Linked DNA regions of Caenorhabditis elegans. The protein of the gene in region 4 interacts with the protein of the main gene of each other region in a pairwise test. Each region holds a gene or a part of one and is shown on either strand. Other genes may lie near its edges.

The links.
Region 1: the proteins of pie-1 (region 4) and T26A8.4 interact in a two-hybrid assay, tested with the Caenorhabditis elegans proteins (2 studies listed by BioGRID).
Region 2: the proteins of pie-1 (region 4) and hda-1 interact in binary tests that used the Caenorhabditis elegans proteins (3 or more experiments, as listed by UniProt).
Region 3: the proteins of pie-1 (region 4) and Y113G7B.15 interact in a two-hybrid assay, tested with the Caenorhabditis elegans proteins (2 studies listed by BioGRID).

What each region holds. Positions count from the first base shown.
Region 1 is NC_003282.8:8,428,446-8,433,250, reverse strand, and holds T26A8.4 (C3H1-type domain-containing protein), read left to right. Parts: upstream 1-1,757; 5' UTR 1,758-1,760; coding exon 1,761-2,040; intron 2,041-2,231; coding exon 2,232-2,584; intron 2,585-2,640; coding exon 2,641-2,908; intron 2,909-2,961; coding exon 2,962-3,386; intron 3,387-3,432; coding exon 3,433-3,831; 3' UTR 3,832-4,290; downstream 4,291-4,805. Other genes in the region: pdtf-1 (Permeability-Determining Transcription Factor), read right to left, coding at 1-13, 67-109; tmem-231 (Transmembrane protein 231), read right to left, coding at 4,739-4,805.
Region 2 is NC_003283.11:14,523,852-14,527,986, reverse strand, and holds hda-1 (Histone deacetylase 1), read right to left. Parts: upstream 2,599-4,135; 5' UTR 2,580-2,598; coding exon 2,406-2,579; intron 2,360-2,405; coding exon 2,242-2,359; intron 2,197-2,241; coding exon 1,330-2,196; intron 1,237-1,329; coding exon 1,010-1,236; 3' UTR 576-1,009; downstream 1-575. Other genes in the region: ril-1 (RNAi-Induced Longevity), read left to right, coding at 3,876-4,025, 4,074-4,135.
Region 3 is NC_003283.11:20,228,395-20,235,803, forward strand, and holds Y113G7B.15 (Pept_C1 domain-containing protein), read right to left. Parts: upstream 5,450-7,409; coding exon 5,162-5,449; intron 3,599-5,161; coding exon 3,424-3,598; intron 2,499-3,423; coding exon 2,130-2,498; intron 829-2,129; coding exon 572-828; 3' UTR 545-571; downstream 1-544. Other genes in the region: sld-5 (DNA replication complex GINS protein SLD5), read right to left, coding at 6,880-7,106.
Region 4 is NC_003281.10:12,424,906-12,429,728, forward strand, and holds pie-1 (Pharynx and intestine in excess protein 1), read left to right. Parts: upstream 1-1,987; coding exon 1,988-2,272; intron 2,273-2,325; coding exon 2,326-2,433; intron 2,434-2,476; coding exon 2,477-2,602; intron 2,603-3,637; coding exon 3,638-3,726; intron 3,727-3,782; coding exon 3,783-4,182; 3' UTR 4,183-4,290; downstream 4,291-4,823. Other genes in the region: snr-6 (putative small nuclear ribonucleoprotein E), read right to left, coding at 4,390-4,606, 4,654-4,709. UniProt on the Caenorhabditis elegans protein: Maternally provided pie-1 is required for germline cell fate determination. Functions as a repressor of RNA polymerase II-dependent gene expression in the developing germline. Required for expression of nos-2 in P4 germline blastomere cells.

The DNA.
Region 1 (4,805 bases), on a different chromosome or scaffold from region 4:
TGTGAGTCGAGAACTATAATTTCAGATAATTTATTTCGTTTGTAAACAAACAATTTTGAAACTCACTTCCAAGCTGTGATAAGATGTGTGAATCGTCATGAAAACTCATGGACTTAACCCGTCGTGATTTTCTGTAAAAATCGATTTTCCCTGATTCGATTTATTTATTCTTAAATTGTTCAGAAGCTTGAAAAATCGAACAGTTGGCAATTTGGAAAAAAATAAAGTAAAAATAACACACGTGAAACGAGTGTTACCGTACTCCTCTGTCCCACCGGGACATGAGAGCAATGTCTGCGTCTCTGACTGGTTTTACACTGCGGAGCGGCTGCGTCACGGTCTTCAGACGCGCGGTTTGCTTCGCTTGCAAGTCGTCTCGTGTGATTTTCGAAAACATTAATGCTGGTGTCCGCCACGACGGCACTCCGGAGAATTCATATACTCATTTTCTGTTTCTTTTTTGTGGCACAAACTTCTAACAAACATTTTAGGTGAATTTGGCGAAAAAGAATATGGGAGTAAAATTAAATGATCCGACTGGGCGAAAGCTTATGTAAAAGCCAGAAAAACGTGTGCAATCCCTTGAAAATTAATTGCAGAGAAGGTGAAGAGAATTTGAAGAAATTATACTCTGAAATATTCTGAAAATTGGAGGTATTTGATAAATATTCAAAGCTCAATAAAGCTGGTAATCGCTCGGAAAAATGAACGTTGGAAATTTAATCTAGTGTCAAATTCGATTGTTTCGAAAAAATTTGCTAATTTTAGGTGAATTAGTCTAGCTATTTCCAGTTTTTGTTAAATTTGCCACGCTACGTTCAATTTCTTTAGATATTATTTTCCTTGTAACGCGCCTAGCCCAAAACGTGTTTCGTAACGAAATTCGTATTCGTAAGCCCATTTCCCTTGATCGATATTCAATGTTAGAGTGTGTAAACTGAAGAGACGCTGCCGATTAGTAGAGTTGTTTGCGCTGAGAGAGAGAAATGACGGGGGCCTCTCTTTCCACTCTTCCCTTCTCCCTCGTGGTCGATTTTGACGGGTTGCGATAGTCACTTGAGCGAATAGCAGCAGTATGACAACGCGCTTGCTGTATACATTCTTTCTGTGGTTTTCGTCATCATCAATCCTTTTTCTAACATACAAGAATAGTTTCCAAATGGTAACAAAAAGTTAAGCATAATTGGAGAAAAAATGACGAAAAATTGGTTAATTGAATTTTAACGAGTTTGAAAGATCAACATTGATCTGAAATAGTTCGAAGAATTTAAAAGCAACTGAAAAACTGAAGTTATTGATATGAAAAGACGGTTTGTTTGAGTTCCAGATTTGAGCATTCTAGACTGAAATTCCAACGTTCAAGATTCCAAGAAGCTATACATTTTTATGTTTTAAAGCTTTTCGAAATAGTTGATTTTTAATTCGAGAAAAAATTCATCCCAAAACTCTGTTCAAATTTCCTACATTATGGGCGGAGTCTGCGCGACCAATGGGCGCTCATGCCGTTTCTATCGTAGACAACATGAGAATGCTCCTCCCACTGCAACTGTGACTTGAAAATTGAGAGAACGAACTGAAATATGTAAATAATCACAAAGATCCGGAAAAGGGAATCACGGAGGAAAACATGAATTTTCATTATCTTTTTATTTCTTTTCTTGCTTTTTATTAGAGCTTGAGAAGTGAACACCGCTTTAACTTTTTATTATGAAAATCCGTAAAACCGGGTATAAATCCAATCATTACAATTATTCTAGATCATGACGGACATCATATCTCAAAATGAAAATAAAGACGATTTCGAAGATGGTGAACTTCCTGAGGACGGTGAAATATGTGATGATGAAGATGAATCTGTAAAAGCAGTGCCCTCCAAATCATCAGAATCAGCTCCAGGTGCTCATATTGCTCCAGCACATCCTGAGAAAACAAGTGGTCGGGATTCACGAGAACGAGTCAGGCGGTTTGAAGGGAATAGTCCTCCGAGAGAGCGAGATCCGGATCCGTTTGGATCTCACAATGATGCTCCGGATGGAAATGGTAAATGTTTCTCTGAATTTTTTGAAAGTCTAACGTCTGATTTGTGAATTAAATTTATCCGATCCGATAATTATCCCGGCAACTGTTTATTCTACGAAATTTAGAGTGTAACCTCTCTTGTTTTTTATTGACGCATTAATAAATGGGAATAATTTTCGAGTGCTGAAAAGGAGAAATTTAATAATTTTCAGATTATTTCGGTGGAGATAAAGACTATCGTAGCGGAGCAGCAGCTTCGTCAGAAGAAGAACCATTCAGTGATACTGATTATCGTGTAAATCGGCGGAGACGCTTATCCCCTTCCCACGACGACGGAGACTTTGACCCGAGATCAAAACGGCCATACTATGGAGGACGAGGAGGATTCCGGGGTGGCTTCCGGAATGGAGCGAAGCCAAGATTTCAAACAGAACATCAGATCTGCAAGTTTTTCCGAGAAGGTTATTGTAGAGACGGTGACAATTGTTTGTACTCTCACCAAGCCGAAGATTCACTGAGACGGCCTGTTCTGTGCAACTTTTATGCTAATAGTTTTTGTAAAAAGGTTAGTTTCAGAAAAAAAAACCAACTTTTCATTTTAAAATACTAATTCTTGTTCAGGGTCTACAATGTCTTATGCTCCATGGAGAATTCCCATGCAAATCCTTCCACAAAGGACAATGCAACCATGATCCATGTAGATTTTCTCACGTTCCCCTGACGGACTATACCCGACCAATCATTGAGAAGATTCTAGCAGACGAAGAAGCCCGGCAGGCTCATCAAGCGCAGCAGGCTCAAACATACAGACAGAATCCAGTGGCAAATGCTGCTGCTGCCGCTGCAGCTGCACAAGTAATGCCAAGAAGGAGAGTTCTCCTCCCTGGAGGTAAGCAGAAAATCGAAATCACTTTTCCATAATAATTATTCAAAAATGTTCAGGCCCTAATATGAATGGTTCATCTCCACCCCACGCAACGCCTGTGATACATGCTCCGATCCCTCAAGCATCTCATCCAAGTCAACTTCCACCACCAGCAGTTGTTGTGCCAACCATTCAACGAAACCCTGGACCAGGAATTCCAATACATCAGCAATACCCTGTTGCTCCAGCAGCTGGAGGATATTTCAATCAAGGGCCACGGCCCGAACAAGTTCAAGGACTTCCACCGCCACGAACAATTGAGCCACCTAGGCTGAGTACTCAAACTCCTCCTATAATGCATCAACAGCAACCACAACTAATGAGGCCTATGCATCCAGTTCCAATTCAACATCCACATCTTCAGCAGCCTGGATTAGTTCAGCCACCGCAAATAGTCTCTCAAGAACGACATACTGCATCACCACAAGGATTCAATTTAGAGGTAAGAATATTGAGAAAGCTTTCATTTAACAATATTTATTTTTCAGGCAATGCTTAACAAGATGGCCAATGGCGAAAAGCTCATATCAAGTCCTCGGAACAACGTGGTCGACGATTCTCCAGCCTCGCCTCCTCCGTCCAACTATTCCAGCATGTTTGGATCATCGAATCGTGTAGCAGTCATACCACAAACAGTGCAAGTCACTTGGGGACTAGTTCGTGTTCAAAGGCGACTTCCGTACTCAAATGTTGAGAACCCTGATCGTATAGCTGCCAATGATCCAAGAAGAGCCAAAGCAATCGCCAAACAGTTTGATGCTTTCAGCTCATTGCTGGGCGCTGGAGGGAATGCCGTATCAGATCCAAGACTTCGGGCACAGAAAGAGAAAAATGATCGTCAACAAAATACAATGCCATTTTCCTCGTGGATGCCTCAAATATCTTAATTTTTATTGTAATTATTCAATGTCTACTGAAAACATTAGTTTATCTTTTAAACAAAACAATTACAAGTTTAGATTCATGTGAGTGTATCACATTTTTCAATCTTTCAATTGATCTGGTCTCTTCATATTGCCTGTTAATGTTTAGTTCTTTCTTAAAGTTTTCATTTATGATTTTGTGAAAAATTTGCAAAACCTTTCCTGTCTTCAACGAGTTTATCTGGACATTTGAGGCTTTTCAAAAAAATTTTCCACTCACAGACGATACTGGTACGATCCCTGTTCCAATCCACTCCCCGAACTGCTGGCATTTTATTTTTAATCAGTTATCAAGTTCCACAAATGATGCTCACTTTTCTGATATGTGTAAAATTGTGTTTCAACCATTTATACTGATGTTTTCTTCACTTCTTTTTAACTTGTATAAGATGAGAACATATTTTGAATGAAGAATGATTTATTAAAACTTGGACTTGTTATTATATTTGAAAAAAATCATCAATTGTAGCCGGAAATGTCAAAAAGAGAGGGTGTTCCTTTCCACTGCACAGATACCTCATTCTGCGCCTCTTCGTCTCACACGCACTCTCGTTTAGCGGCACACACAAAACTTAGTTGACGGCGGAACCTGAAGAGTGTCGGCCGCGCCGTTTTGTTGCCTCAGCACACTTTCACCCTTTCTCCAGTCTTCAGTATGGGTCAATCTCTGATCTGCAACTGAATATGATGAGTTCGGGCGATGATCTTCTGTGATTACATCGCACGGCGAGGTGGGAACGCAATACCCGCCTGCCAGCCCGATTCTGAACCAAGTTGCCTAGAAATATTTTGGAAACATAAGACTCTTTTAGAGTTATTTATATGAATTACATCTTGTTGTGTTCAATTTGATGTGTTTGTTCATTAAAGCTTAACGAACAACATCGTTGACATAAAATACACGATTTCTAAACATATACGAAGTACATGAGGTAAAA
Region 2 (4,135 bases), on a different chromosome or scaffold from region 4:
AATCGGTTACGTTGCGAAATTGAATATCCTTTTTTTTCGATATTTCTGAATTTTAGACTTGAAAAATGAACGACAAACAATGAAAAGTATGAATGAGTGGAAAGAAAAAAGAAAAACAAAGAAAGAATCGAAACATGTTTTCATCTTTTTTGCATTTTCAACAACAAGAACCCAGTAAAAAGCTAATTTCTCTCTCCGTCTCTGTGTGAAAGGAGTGCTCGGAGAGCCGATTCGATTCCATTCCCAGGTGGGGCTAAAATTTGGATAAGTGGATTTTTATGATGCAATTTTTGTTGGTCTCCGTTTTGGAGCACACCATCCAACATCAGATGAAGACAGACAAGGAATACAATTGAAAATAGAAATGAGAATTTATTCTGTAATATGAGACCACATGCGTAGTCATCATAATTCGTGTTATAATTGCTCGCTTCCAGACAATAATTATGAAGCAGCTGAAACTGACGACATAAACGATGTCAACTGCAAAAACTTTAGTCTTCTTCCATTCGAATTCCAATGTGACAAATTCGATTTTTCCAATTTCCGAATTGAAGATAGACGTTGCGCCGGTTCCAATCGAGTCAATTTTATTAAATAAATAAAAACGAAGAAATTCACCAAAATACAAAAAAGTGTTCAGGATCTGACTGTGGAATTGGAATTGTGTGCCAGTAAAATGGGGAGTGTGGGACGACAAGAGAAATGGAAATCGTTGAAGGGGGTAGATTAGATGTGGATGTGAGGAGTAAGGATGTTGAGGAAGTGCAAAACGGGTAAAGGATACTGAGATAAAAAAGGATTAATGGGGAAAAGTGAAGAGATCTTCCAAATAAAAGTGCTTGAATTTGAAAAATAAATAAAACAGTTGGGATTTGGGCGGAAAATTAAATTAGATTTAAGGAAAATCAAAAAGTAATACTCATTTGACAAGGAAAAAGTGGTGTACAGTGATTGAATATTATTTTCAGAGGAGATACTGAATTCGACGGCGGCACATTTTAGTGTTTTACTCTGTCTTCTGACGCTTTTCACCACCTTCCGACTCAAACTGAGCTGCTCTCTTCGCATCGCTCTCGTTTCTTCGATCATCTCCCTCACGCTCACCATCGTAGAAGTCTCCATCGTCTTGAATCATTCCATCGGTAATTTGTGGTGGTAGTCGTTTGTCGGGATTAGCTTGGTCGGCGATCAATGAGTCATCATTCAATGCAGAGAGGGCGTCTTCTGGGATCGCTGAAAAATGGAATAATTATGAAGTGTTCAACAAACATCTAATAATTTTCTGACAGATTCTAAAAAGTGAACAAAAATTCGTTCAAAACGTACGTCTCATTTGAACACTTGGAACAAAAGTGAGCTGCTCGAGATTGGCGATGACGTCAGTTTGCAATTTAGCCAGCATATCGGAGCTATTTTCATTTGCTGCATTCGACGACTCGATGTGAAGTCGGTAGTTTGGTCCAAAGTATTCGAAGTAGTCATTGTATGGCAACTCATTTGGAACTTCCTTATCGACGGCAATCGAGGTTTCGTACGTCCAACAACGTGCCACATTTCTTGGAGTGTATCCACCTCCACCGACCATCATAAGTGGAACGTTGTAGCTTCGGAAGAAACGAGCACATTCTCCGTGGCCTTTCAAGGTCAGATTGAATGGTCCAAGTCTATCTCCGTTGAGAGAATCAGCTCCACATTGAAGAACAACAGCACAGGGATCAAATCTCTCCATAACCTTTGTCATGATTGGTTTAAAAATACTCTGGTAAGAGACGTCGGTGATTCCATCGCGAAGTGGAACATTGACTGAATAGAGCTTTCCTTTTCCAGCTCCTATATCTTTCAGGTCTCCGGTTCCTGGGAAGAAATCTCCATATTTATGGAATGACACTGTCATTACTCGATCAGTCGTATAGAACGCCTCCTCTACTCCATCTCCGTGATGAACATCAATATCGACGTAAAGTACTCGCTTGTGGTACTTGAGAAGCTCGAGAATACCGAGAACGATGTCATTGGTGTAACAGAATCCGGACGCCTCGCTTTTCTTGGCGTGATGGAGGCCTCCCATCCAATTGATAGCAATGTCCACCTTCTGCTTGTTCAATTTAGTGGCAGCAGCCAGAGAACCTCCCGAACTGAGTTGGCAGAACTCATAAAGACCATCAAAGAGAGGACAATCTTCTCCAACATTGACTGAAATGAGACAATACATTTAGTTTTAAAAAGAATATAACTTACACTTAAGCATTTGTTTGTTGAAGGATTTCAGATTATCTGGATTCGCACTCTTCAAAAACGTCATGTACTCGTCGCTGTGAAAACGAGTCATGTCTTCGAATGATGCAGGGAATGGGCGCTAAAATTAAACGTTTACAATATTTCAATGAAGAAATATTACTTACGAAAATCTCTAAATTCCGGTACAGACCATAGTTGAGAACGAGATGATGGGTCATTCTGATACGATGTGGCTTCATGACGTGCCCTTGACCATAATAGTAATTTCCAATGTTGGAGTCATAGTAGTAGGCGACACGGCGCTTACCGTGCTCCATCAACGGGCCGTTTGAGTTCATGTTTGATGGTCGCAGTAGACTGAAATAACAAGATTGCTCGAAGAAAAATAAAATGAAGAGAAGGAGAAGGTGTAAGACAGGTTATGCAGTATTGATCGAGTTTTTGGCTAATTTTTGGTAATCGATATAAACGCGACGTGAAAACGCTCATTACTATAACACATTTTGATCAATAAACTGAATTCGGCAAGATCATTGAAGCGGAAAAATATAAGAATTGAGGTTTTGTAAAAACTTTGAAGGAATATAATTTTCAAAGACATATACTTAAACAGGTGGCTGTGGTTTTTTGGAATAATTTAGAGCACTGGAAAATTTCGCCAGTGCCAAGGAATAAAAAATTCTGACAATATGATATACTGTCTTTTGGGCCTTGTCTTGAAATTATTTAAATTTTCTTGGCACAATTTCTACAGGAATCTAAACTAGCCAGCCACAATCTATTATCAAAAAATATCAATCGCACAGGCCACATGGCTTTTGATTTTTATTTCTTTTTTATTTAGGCTCCTCCCATGATTGACCTTTAGTTTAATTTTTAAATTCACTTCGGAAATAAAGTTGTGGGAGGAGCTTAAATAAAAAACAAAAGCCACGTGGCCTGTGCTATTGATATTTTTTGATAATAGCATTTTACGAAATTGAGATTAATATTTGAGAGTGAGTTCTCCAATGAATTTCCTGGCGCCATTGCTGGAAGTATTTTTATTTTGAATCGAAAAATGTTTAAAAAATATTATTCAGTGCCTACAAATCGATATTTTCTTCCTTGAACGGTGGGTCTATTAGACAGGTGCAGCTCAGTGAAAATAACTATTCGAAACACTTCAAGCGTCGTCTTTTTATTATATTTTGAACAAATATAGATATAATTCTAGTAGAAAACAATAAGAAAAACAGAAAAGTGAGAGAAAAACGAGGTGAACGGTGAAACAGTTTTGAACGAGAACAGGAGGCAGACAAAAAACGCAGCGTCGTAAGTGTGTGCGGCGTGTTTGCACACAACCGCGAGCACGCACAATCTTGCAAAAAGGGGCGGGACGAAAACCGCCGTCAGTTTTTGGCTTCCCAATTTTTTATTTTTAAGCTAAAAATTGCTCTTTTTGAGTTTTTTTTCGATGTAAAATATTGATAAATATAAGTTATTTTGTTTATTTCTTGCAATTCACGTTCAATTTTTCCCCACGCTCTCACGATGTTGAATTATGTCAATTATCTTTTTTTTTAGCTTAAAAATATCAATATTCAAATAAAGCTTAACTACATAATCATTTTTAGTTTTGTAGGTAATCAACTATGGTCGTAGGAAAGCTCTTTGAGGCAGCAAAGTGGACTGCCGAGACAGTCAAAGGAGCCGCCGTCGTCGTTGCTTCTCCAAATGCTCCAATCCCGGCCACAGACCTTCATCCACGCATGCCAGCCCGGCCATGGACCGCTCAAGAATACGTAAGATTTCCCGGAAAGTATGAAGAAAATAAATAATGACAATTTCAGTTGAGAATGTGGTCCTGGCGCCATTGCTGGAAGTACCTCCCAATCTTCCGTTTCTACATTTA
Region 3 (7,409 bases), on a different chromosome or scaffold from region 4:
AAATAGCGAAGAAGCTGAACGACAAAAATGACAGAACAGTCAGCGTAGTTTTCTTGTCAGAGAGAGCAGGGGCAATCAATTTGCATGGTGCGACACATGTCATTTTGCTAGGCATGCACTGGAATCTGGCTCTTGAACAAGAGGCATGTAGCTGCGTATGTAACATTGCACAGAAGAATATTGTCACTATTCACAGGTACATTTTTAGTTATCTATCTGGAGGAATAATAAACAGGCAAAGTTTCGAGATTTTCTTGCAACTGTTCAGTTTTTTTTTAGTTTAACATTGTCATCTCTAACGACTGTAATTTCAGAATAAAGGTTGCTGGCACCAATGAGGATGACGTCGAAAAAGCTCAAGACGACAAAAGCGATAGATCTGTCGGAGCAGAAACACCAATTAGAGAGTCAACGCCAATTTCTCTCAAGAAATAATCATTTTGTCGTGATAACTTTCGAATCGTTCATTATTTTTTAAGTTTCCGGTTTGGCAAACTTTTGTAAAACTTTTGTATACTCAAATGTTGTAATTCACTAAACCAACTAATTTTTTAAAACATTCATTACACAATTAATTATCAATCATAGCAGTAGCCGCATGACTTTCAATCAGACACCAGTTAACACCACGTCGAATCTTGACATATCCATGAAGACCCCAATCGGAATTCCACGAGTTTCTAACCAACCAATACGGGACACCGTCATCTGATGTACCATAACCAACAATTGCTACGGAATGCCATTCCGCTGGTGTCATTTGGTAACAATCTTCGGATTGAAGTACTCCTGATGTGTACCATTCAAAGTTCTCACCCACTCGGAAATCTGGAAAAATTTGAAAATTTTTTGGAAACTTTTTTTTTGGAATTTTTTTTAATTTCAAAATCTTATAACTTATCCAGTTTTTGAGATATTAACTTTTTCTTTATTTCAAAATGTGCGCAAAATGATTCACTATCAGTCTGCAAAAATTTCAGCGTTCAGCCATTGTAGACCACAGTACCACAGGACTTTTCGCGGTCAAACCAAAATTTTGAAAAAAATTTTTTAATTAAAATTTTTAAAATTCCAAAATTTCGTAACTTTGTCAGTTTTTAAGATATTTACCTAATTTTTATTTCATAATGTGTGCAAAATTTTTTACTGCCAGCTTATGTAATTTCAACTTCAAGCCATCTCAGACTACAGTACTCCAAGAGTTTTCGTGGCGGGACACAAGTTTTCAAAAAAAAAAATTTTTTTGCAAAATTTTTTAAATTTCAATACTTCAAAACTTAGCCAGTTTTTGAGATATTCACCTAAGTTAAATTTCAAAATGTGTGCAAAATCTTTTACTATCAGGTTATAAAATTTCAGCTTCAAACAATCTCAGACTACAGTACCACAGGACTTTTCGTGGCGGGGCCAAAATTTTGAAAAAAAAAATTGCAAAAATTTTTAAAATTTCAAAGCGTTATAACTTTGTCAGTTTTCAAAATTTTTAGATAATTTTTAACTTGACAGGAGCGCATACTCTTTCTCTACTAGAATTCAAAGCTCAGAGCCATTACCCAAGACTTTTCGTGGCGGGACCAAAATTTTGAAGAAAAAAATATTTTCTTTGCAAATTTTTTCCGAAATTTAAAACCTTATAACTTTGTCAGTTTTTAAGGTATCTGACTTATTTTTATTTCAGAATGTGTGCAAAATTTTTTACTGTCAGCTTATAAATGTTCAGCTTCAAGCCAATTCAGACTACAGTACCCCAGGACTTTTCGTGGCGGGACCAAAATTTTGAAAAAAATATTTTTTGCAAAAATTTTTAAAATTTCAAAGCAACATATCTTTGCTAGTTTTCAAGATTTTCAGATAATTTTTATTTTGACAGGAGCGCATACTTTTATTCTACTAGTTTGCAAAATTTGGGCTTCAAGCCATCCCAGACTAAAGAACTACAGGACGTTTCGTGGTGGGACCCAAATGCTAATTTTTTCGCAAAATTTTCAAATTTCAAAACCTCATAATTTAGTCAGTTTTTAAGATTTTTTTTTCGTAATTTTTGCCAGATTCACATGTTTCAGGCCCAAACCATACCGGATTACTGTACCCCAAAACTTTTCGTGGCGAGACCCTTCAAAAAAACTTACAAACTGCTGTAGGGATATGATTGAGATACAAATTCTCCATAATATCCTCCTCTGCATAATCTTGATCAAATCGATAGACATTTAAAGTTTCCGGCTGGATTACTGTACTTTTCTCGTCGCCCACGCAATTTCCAGTGGTATTCGCCCGATATTCCTCGTAAGGGTAGTCACCGTCACTGGACTGTCCCCGTAGATGCACCATTTTCAGACCGTTCCTTGGATCACCTCCCACGCACCCAGGAGTGTCTCCTGAATCTGCACAATCGCAAATTTCCTGGTCCGAGAGACTTGTGAAGGACTTGGAGTAGAGGGTGTTGGCAGCTTCGGTGATGGCAGTGGTGGCGAACGCCCAGCAGCAACCGCATTGTTCTGAAAAGTTATCAGTTGAAAAGAGCGTAAAATTTAAAATGGAAATAGTTTTTGAAACACCAAAAAATAAATATTTTGAAGGGAGTTATGAAGGTTTGAAGTTGGTGGCCTAGAATTTCAGATGAGGCCACCGGTATTTGGGGGAGTTTTTCAAGTTAACAATTAAATTACAAACCGATTGGCTTTTACAAACTCCAAATACGTCGATTTTGAAGCGAGTTATGAGAGTTTGAAGTTGGTGGCCTAGAAATCCAAATGATTGTTTTCTAGGCCATCAAAATTTAAGTAGGTCATATTGAACGTAAATTTCATGGTGAACAAAATTATTTTTACGGATCTCGAAAATATCAATTTTCCGCCGAGTTATATGGGATTGAAGTTGGGTCCTAGAAATCCAATTTGGTGTTTTTCTAGGCCATTAAAAATTAACTAAGTTAATTTGATAGTAAACTTTATGGAAAGATACATGCTTTTAACAAAACCCGAAAATATCAATTTTCCGCCGAGTTATGACGGTTTCAAGTTGGTGGCCTAGAAAGTTTAAAAACTCTTCCACGACTATAACTTTGCTTAGAAATTATAGTTTTCAAACCTGAAATTGTAAAAACATTGAGTCTAAGTTATTATTGTTTTCGAATAATTGGTGGCCTAGAAAACCTGAGCATGATTTTTCTAGGCCACCAACTTCTAACATTCATAACTTGGCGGAAAATCTACATAATAAAATTTTGCAAAAACCAATTTATTTGTCTAAAAAATTGCAATAAATTTGACCTACTTGATTTTGATGGCCTAGAAATCCAAAAATTTCTGCATTTCTAGGCCACCAACTTCAAACCCTCATAACTCGGCGGAAAATCAATATTTTTTCGCCAATCAAAATCTGTGTTTACTCAAATTTTAAGCTTTTTCAAATTAAGCATACCTTGATCTTTAACAGGACCAACAACTGGACTCCCATCGACATAAATATCACGGAGGTCGAAATAGTCCGGAATATCCCCACTTTGACGTTTTGAGCGTTTATTATGATGATTACGACTGCCACGTGGATGCCTCGGCTTGTAAATTGGAAGATCCGTGTGGTTTTTGGGATGAATCTGGAAAATTTCCAAATTATTTTTTTTTAATTTTCGTTTAAAAAAAAAGAATAATTAGAACTTAAAGAACGCACCGTGAACATTCTAATACAATTTTCAAATTTCAAAAATATTGATTTTCCGCCGAGTTATGAAAGTTTGAAGTTGGTGGCCTAGAAACCCAAAATTTTGGATGTCTAGGCCATCAAAAATTAAATAGGTCAGATCGATTCCAAATTTCGTAAGTTGGTTTTTGTAAAATTCAGAAATATTGATTTAAAGCCGAATTATGGAGGGTTGAAGTTGGTGGCCTAGAAATTAAAAGTTAGGCCACCTGCTTCAAATTCTTGTAACTTGGCTCAAAATCAATATTTTTGAGTTTTACAGAAACAAACTTAATCAACTTGAATTTTGGAATCAATTCGGCTTATTTAAAATTGGTGGCCTAGAATTTTTCAGGTTTCTAGGCGACAAACTTCAAACCGGCATAACTCGACGGAAAATAAATATTTTTCAGTGATTCCAAAACTAACGTATATGTCTCAAAATTTGAAATCGATTTGACCTATTTGATATTTCGTGGCCTAGAATTTCTAATATTTGAGTTTCTAGGCCACCAACTTCAAAACGTCATAACTCAGCTCAAAATCAATATTTTTCAGTGATTCCAAAACTAACGTATATGTCTCAAAATTTGGAATCAAATTGATCTATTTAATATTTGGTGGCCTAGAATTTCTGATTTTTGGGTTTCTAGGCCACCAACTTAAAACCGTCATAACTCAACGGAAAATCAATATTTTTCAGCTATTCCAAAACTATCGTACTCTCCCTAAAATTTGAAGTCCATTTGACCTACTGAATATTGGTGGCCTAGAGTTTTTAACTGTTGGGTTTCTAGGTCACAAACCTCAAACCGTCATAACTCGACGGAAACTCAATATTTTTCAGTGACTCCAAAACTAACGTACTTTTCTCAAAATTTGAAATCAATTTGACCTATTTGATATTTGGTGGCCTAGAATTTCTAACTTTTGAGTTTCTAGGCCACCAACTTCCATCTCTCATAACTTGGCTCGAAATTAATATTTTCAGTGGTTCCTAAACTACCGTGATTGACTTGAAATTAGGAATAGATTCGGCCTATTTAAAATTGGTGGCCTAGAATTTCTGATTTTTGGATTTTTAGGCCACCAACTTCAATCCTTCATAACTTTGCTCAAGATCAATATTTTTCAGTGATTCCAAAACTAACGTACTTGCCACAAAATTTGGAATCGATTTGACCTATTTAATATTGGTGGCCTAGAATTTCTGATTTTTGGGTTTCTAGGCCACCAACTTAAAACCGTCATAACTCAACGGAAAATCAATATTTTTCAGTGATTCTAAAACTAATGTACTCTCCCTAAAATTTAGAGTCTATTTGACCTATTTAATACTGGTGACCTAAATTTTCTAAATTTCCGGTTTCTAGGCCACCACCTTCAAAACGCCATAACTCGGTTTAAAATCAATATTTTTCAACCAATCAAAAACCATCTTGCGCAGAATTTTGTGCGCTTTTTGAAAAAACTCCCCAACCTTTGAATTTCTGGCGCTCAACTCCTGTCGATTCTTATCAGCAAACTTATTCCACCCAAAAGTCACATTTCGTCCTTCTCTCCTTGCTTTCGCATTAAGTTCCTGGATTTTCTGATGATTTTTCGCGAAATGAGCCAACCGGCGGTCTTTCTCCGCCGGGGTACGGTAGTGTTTCTTATGGTGCATCGTGAAATTGTTAAAATGTGACAGTACCTCCTGAGAGTGTTGGGTTACTGTAGGTTGGCATAGAGAGAGTAGGAATAAGGGGGAAATTATGAAAAGTAACATTTTTCAGGTTTTTACGGGGTTTTCGCTGGTTTTTATAGGTGGAATCACGCCGATCAACATGTTCAAGGTAACAGGTAACATAAAATGATAAAATATGAAAAAAAATTGTTCTTGTTTCAGTGTTACTCTGAGCCCTGAAAGTTTAGTTCTCCAAAAAAAAAAAAATTTTTAATCTAAAAATTTAAAAAAAAATGTTTTTTTTTTTTTTTAATTCCCTCAAAACCCTTCGCAATTGTTCTAAACCAACTTAGCTATACTAATTCAAACATTAAAAAAATATTGACCCTAGCGGGGGTTCGAACCTATGACCCTCCGCACATAACCATACCTCTTCCCGCCTGAGCCACTTTGACCCAGTTTTCAAACTGCTCCAAAATTCGCGTAATTTAGTTGTTTTAGGCTCAGAATTTCACGATAATTCCAGAAATTTAACTAGTTTTGATCTACGTTCATGTTGAACAGAGTTATGAGTAAAAAACTTTAAATCGATCAATTTCTTGGCTCAAAATTCGAAAAAAAAAGTTGAAAAGTTAATATGGGTGTCAAAAAATGTCTAAATTTTCTGCAGAATTTGGAAATTTATGCTAAAATCGCTGAAAACTTCAAGAAATTGGCAAAAAACCAAAAGAAAACACATTTTATCGATTTTTTTCAAAAAATTCCCTTAAACCCTTCCTCCCCTTCGCAATTGCTCAAAACCAACTAGGCTATACTAATTCAAACATATAAAAAATATTGACCCTAGCGGGGGTTCGAACCTGTTACCCTCCGAACCATAGCCTTCTCTCTTCCCGCCTGAGCCACTTGACCAAGTTTTCAAACTGCTCCAAAATTCGCGTAATTTAGGTGTTTTAAGCCTGAAATTTTACGAAAGTTCCAAAAATTTCACCAGTTTTGCGCTATGGTCATGCTGAACAATGTTATGAGCAGAAAAACTTTAAATTATTCACTTTTTGGCTCAAAAATCGAAAATTTATATCAAACCAAATTTTTTTGTCTATTTTCAGGAAAAAACATGGAGTAAGCTTCGTTTTTATGTTTAAAAAAGCTAAAATAAATGAAAATTTAAGAGAAAAAAACCCGATTTTTGAAGTGAAAATCCAGTTTTTTGGGGGAACATAAAAATGGAATAATGAGGTTTTTGAGCAAAATTTGATAATTTTAAAGTGAAAAATTGAGATTCAAAGAGGAGAAAACAGGCGAAAAATCACCGCAAAATTTCAGTGAAAATGCTCATTTTTTGACAGAAAATTGGCAAAAAGTGACAAATTAAAGTAGACATATGTAAAAAAAAAAAAAGGGGGTTTCAGGGGTAAAAAATGATGAAAAATTCGGGAAAATTACAAAAAAATGGATTAAATTTACGATTTTAGGGGTAAAAATGATGAAAATTCCAAAAAAATCCGAAAAAATTATCAAAAAATTCTTCTTCACATCAGTTGAATATTTCCATCTTCAACCAATTGATGTACCGATTCGAACGGAATCAAATGACACGATTCCGGTTCCATTTCCAAAATCACTTCTCCATTCAAATCCTGCCAATCCGGAATCGCAACGTTGCCCACGTCATCTGACGTCACTTTTGCGTAAACCATGACGTCATCATGATCGCCACGTGGAACTGGCATCTTTTTAAGCGCTGCTGGCATGAATTCTGAAGAAAATTGAGAGTTTTTGGGAAATTTTTTTTTTTTTGAAATTTTGAAAAAAAAAGTTTTTTTTTGGGAATTTTGAAATTTTTTTTTTTTGAAATTTTGAAAAAAAAATTGTAAAAATTGCCACGTGGCATTAAGCGAAATTTTGCAGTTTTTGAGAGAAAAAAAAACTGCAAAAAAAATCGAAATTTTCCAGATTTTCTGAGCTTTTACGCAAATTTTTCTGAATTTTTGAGGTAATTTTCTAAAATTTTAGCGAAAATTTTAAATTTAATTTTTTTTTAACTTAAAAATGAAACTTT
Region 4 (4,823 bases):
GACACGAATATTGGACGTTTTTAAATCAAATTAATTTATTAATAGGTAAAATATTAAAAAATAAACACAAAAATGACAAAGGAATAGGAAAACACGAAGAGAAATTGAGTATCGCTGTCAAAATTCGAAAAACGTGGATTTTTCCAAGAATCGAGCCCGTAAATCGACACATTCGCTACAGTAGTCATTTAAGGATTATTGTAGTTTTCGCTACGAGATACTTTGCGCGCCAAATATGTTGTGAAATACGCATTCTCAGAATTTTATGTTCCCGTAATACCACAATGACCGAATATCATAATAAAAAAATTCAAAAACAATTTCTAGATTTTATATGATTTTTTGAAAATTGAAAAAATCTCAGTTTTCACCTAATTATATTTGAATTACCGCCAATTGAACTCGTTCGTTGGAGCGCGCTTGCATTATTTTCATTAATTAATTTTATTAATTTTCATTATTTCACTGATTTTCTTCATTTTTGAGGTTTTTTTTATCGGGAAATGAAAGAAATATACAAGAAAAATGCAAAATGTTTATTAAAAACTGAAATTAGTATTTCTCGGAGTTTTAGGCATTTTCAGTTACTTTTTAATAAAGATTTTGCATTTTTCTTGTATATTTCTTTCATTTTCCGATTAAAAAACCCCAAAAATGAAGAAAATCAGTGAAATAATGAAAATTAATTCAAATAACTAATGAAAATAATGCAAGCGCGCTCCAACCAACGAGTTCAATTGGCGGTAATTCAAATATAATTAGGTGAAAACTGAGATTTTTTCAATTTTCAAAAAATCATATAACATCTAGACAATTTTTTTGAATTTTTTTATCATGATATTCGGTCATTGTGTCCCCATAGGCATGTTTTAAAGCAATTTCCACCTTTAAATAAAATCGAGAAAAAATGGCGTCAAAAGACATATGTAAAAGCTGTTTCTCTTTGTATATTCACACAGAATATAGCCCGATTTTGGAGGTGAAAAACCGGTTTTTTTGTATTCTTTACGCCACATAAAGTGATATGGAAGAGAAAATCGACATATTTATGTACTTGGAGTACGAGTACATTGGAGAAAAAGGGTGAACTACTGGAAAATCTGGGAAATTTCAGAAAAAAATTCCGAAAAATCTTTTTTGCTGAAAAAAAAATTTGTTCGAAATTTGGGAAATACTGGAAAATTTTCATCAAAATTAAAGCGATTTTTAACGTTTTTGCTTGGGAGATACTATTTGTAATTTTAATGTTTGGTGAGGACAACAGAAATGACCTTCAGCGTACGGAAAACGATTAAAAGACACATTTGAATCGAAAATAGCGTGAAAAACATGAAAATATCGGAAAAATAGCTTTAAAATTGGATTTGAAAGCAAAAAATGTATCAAAAATCGAGAAAAATGCTTGAAAAAGTTGAAAAACTCAAACAAAAAATCAAAAAAGGTTTTTTTAAAAATCTGTGAGTATCGCAACGAAAGCACAACTTGAGGCATGCGCCTTTAAACCAACCGTAACCAAATTCGGAGGCAAAAAAAGATTTCTCGCTGTTTTTTCAGTTTTAAAATCACTTTTCACGTTTCTTTTCGCAGTAATTCGTTTGCAAAACATCTGAAAAAATTTTATTTTATAAGAAATTATATAAAAATCGCTATAAATTGAGTTTTTGCCCCCAAATTCAGCACGGAGCACTTCTCAATTAAATATAATTTTATTTTTTAACATTGAAAGCTTTCATAAAATTGAGCTTTGTTTGTAAATAATCAGTGAAAAAACACAGAAATCTTCAAAAAATAAAGAAAAAGTTTTTAAAAATCTGTGAGTCCCGCAACGAAAATAAAACTTTAGGCATGCGCCTTTAAACCAACCGTAACCAAATTCGGCGGCAAAAATGGATTTCTCGCCGTTTTTTCAGTTTTACAATCACTTTTTAGGTTTCTTTTTGCAGTATTTCGTTTCCCAAACAATTAAAAATCAAATTTTCTTTTCCAGATGGCTCAAACAAAGCCGATTGCCGAGCAAATGGCTGCACTCAACAACTCAGATGACACGTCGTTCGCTGCCGATCGATCGAACAGTCTTCTGAATGCGACGTGCCCGGCGAGAATTCAAAATTCAGTAGATCAACGGAAAATCAATCGATCATTCAATGATTCGCTGTCGTCCGGATATAGTGGAAAATGGCTTCGTCCAAAGCGTGAAGCGCTCAAGATCACTCCATTGGCTCAGATTGACGAGGCGCCGGCAACTAAAAGACATAGCTCGGCGAAGGATAAGGTTTTGATTTAAAAAAAAAACTGAAAAATATGCAAAATCGATTTTTTTTCCAGCACACAGAATACAAAACGCGACTTTGTGATGCGTTCCGCCGTGAAGGATACTGCCCGTACAACGACAATTGCACATATGCTCACGGACAAGATGAGCTGAGAGTTCCGGTGTGTCTGAAGCCTGGAAATCTTTGGAAAATTTTTTTTTCAGAGACGCCGCCAAGAGTATTATTCCCGAGATCCACCACGTGAGCGCCGTGATTCTCGTTCTAGACGAGACGACGTGGATACAACAATCAATCGATCGAGTTCTTCAGCATCGAAGCATCATGATGAGGTGCTGATCGGATGGAAATTCGCTTTTTTGACAAATTTTCGCAGTTTTTTCGCTAAATTTCATTTAAAATATGCTTATTAACACATTATATCACTATTTAGACGAATATCTTGTAGAAATGTTGGGTTTTGTTCGAATTTTCTCTACTTTTTGAGTTGCTTCACGAAGAAATTGTGTTCTCTTTCATTGTACAGAAGAATCTATGTTTTACAAGGGAAAAAAGTAAGATGGTGCAACATTTTCTCGTGAATCGACTCTAAAAGTAGAGAATTATCGAACAAAACCAACATTTCTACAAGATATTCGCCTAAGTACTGATATTATGTGATAATAAATGAAATTTAGCGAGAAAATACTGCGAAAACGCCTTTTCAGACCCAAAACCGCCTAAATTTCTCGAATTTTCAGGGCTAAATCATTTTAAAACTCCAATTTCGCTCAATTTTCCGTGTCGAGACGGTCCGAAGTTGATTTTCTGGAATTATCATCCTTGTTTTGCATCTTTTAGTAGTTTATCTCAAATTTTTCCCGCCTGCAGACAGATTATGTGAGATAAACTACCAAAATGTGCATTAAATTATGATAATTCCAAAAAAAGTCAACTTTCGGCCGATGCGGCACGAAAAATTGCCAAAATTCGAGGTTTTTAGCTAAAATTATCAAAACTTTGGACAAAAATCATCCATTGCGCAGCGAATTTTTGGGGTTATACGTTCAAAATGTTTATTTTAAAATGAAATTTAACGAGAAAATATAATATACTGCGAAAACGGCTTCTCAGACCAAAAATCGCCCAAAACTCGAATTTTCAGGGCTAAATTGGCTAAAAGTCTTCATTTTTGGCAAGTTCTCCGTGTGGCGACGGAAAAAAAGCCAATTTCTGGCAAAATTGAAGATTTTCAGCTAAAATTAACCCTGTTTTTCAAAATTTTGAACAAAAATCGTCAATTTCAGCGAATTTTTGAGGTTTTACGTTGCAAAAATCCTTATTTTTAAGTGAAATTTAGGGAAAATATTACAATATTTTACTTCCAGAATCGGAGACCCAGCAACAACCACGGAAGCTCGAATCGTCGTCAGATTTGTCACAATTTCGAGAGAGGAAACTGCAGATATGGTCCAAGGTTCTAGGAAATCTGGAATTTTTATTAAAAATAAATAAAATAAATTTTCCTTTCAGATGCCGCTTCATTCACGTCGAACAAATGCAACATTTCAATGCGAATGCGACGGTTTACGCGCCACCTTCTTCCGATTGTCCGCCGCCGATTGCCTACTACCATCATCATCCACAACATCAGCAACAATTCCTGCCATTTCCAATGCCATATTTCTTGGCTCCACCGCCGCAAGCTCAACAAGGAGCTCCTTTTCCAGTGCAATATATTCCACAGCAACATGATTTGATGAATAGCCAGCCAATGTATGCACCAATGGCACCGACATACTACTATCAACCAATTAATTCGAATGGCATGCCCATGATGGATGTGACTATTGATCCGAATGCCACGGGCGGTGCGTTTGAAGTGTTCCCCGATGGATTCTTCTCTCAGCCACCACCAACTATTATTTCCTAATTTTGCCGTATTTTCCATATTTTGTTTTGTATATTTATCCACTCACCCCCTCTCTTTGTCCTGTGAATGAACTTGTGCCAAAAAAGCCAAAAATAATTTACTTTTTTTAAAGACATATTAAAACTTGAAAACTTGGAACAATACGGTGCGAAAGCGAAACAGAGACAGAAAAATGAACAAAGAGATCCGTGAAAAGTGAACGATGATTTAGGCTTCTTGTTGGGCGGCGTGGATGAGAGTGATGTTGTCTCCTTTGAGAAGAATTCTGCCGATCTTGTTGCGTCCCTTCGTCTTCATGTTCACCTCCTCGGCTTCGTCGAACACGACATTCATGAACTCGTCGAATCCGATGATGTAGCCCTCGAGACGGTGGGTGACATCCTCGTACAACCAGATTTGGACCCGAGTGCGGTTTTGGAGATATCTGAAATTTGGGAAATTGTTTTCTACTGATTAGTGAAAAAATATTACCTGAAGATGAGGTTCACAGGCTGAACCATCACTTTGTTGAGCTTTCTCGTCGACATTTTTGCGGGATGATCTGTAAAAATCAATATATTTTTTGAAAGACACAAATTTTTAAGATAAATATCAAGAAAACTCGATTTTAGCAGCTATTTAAGCTCAAAAACTACAATTTA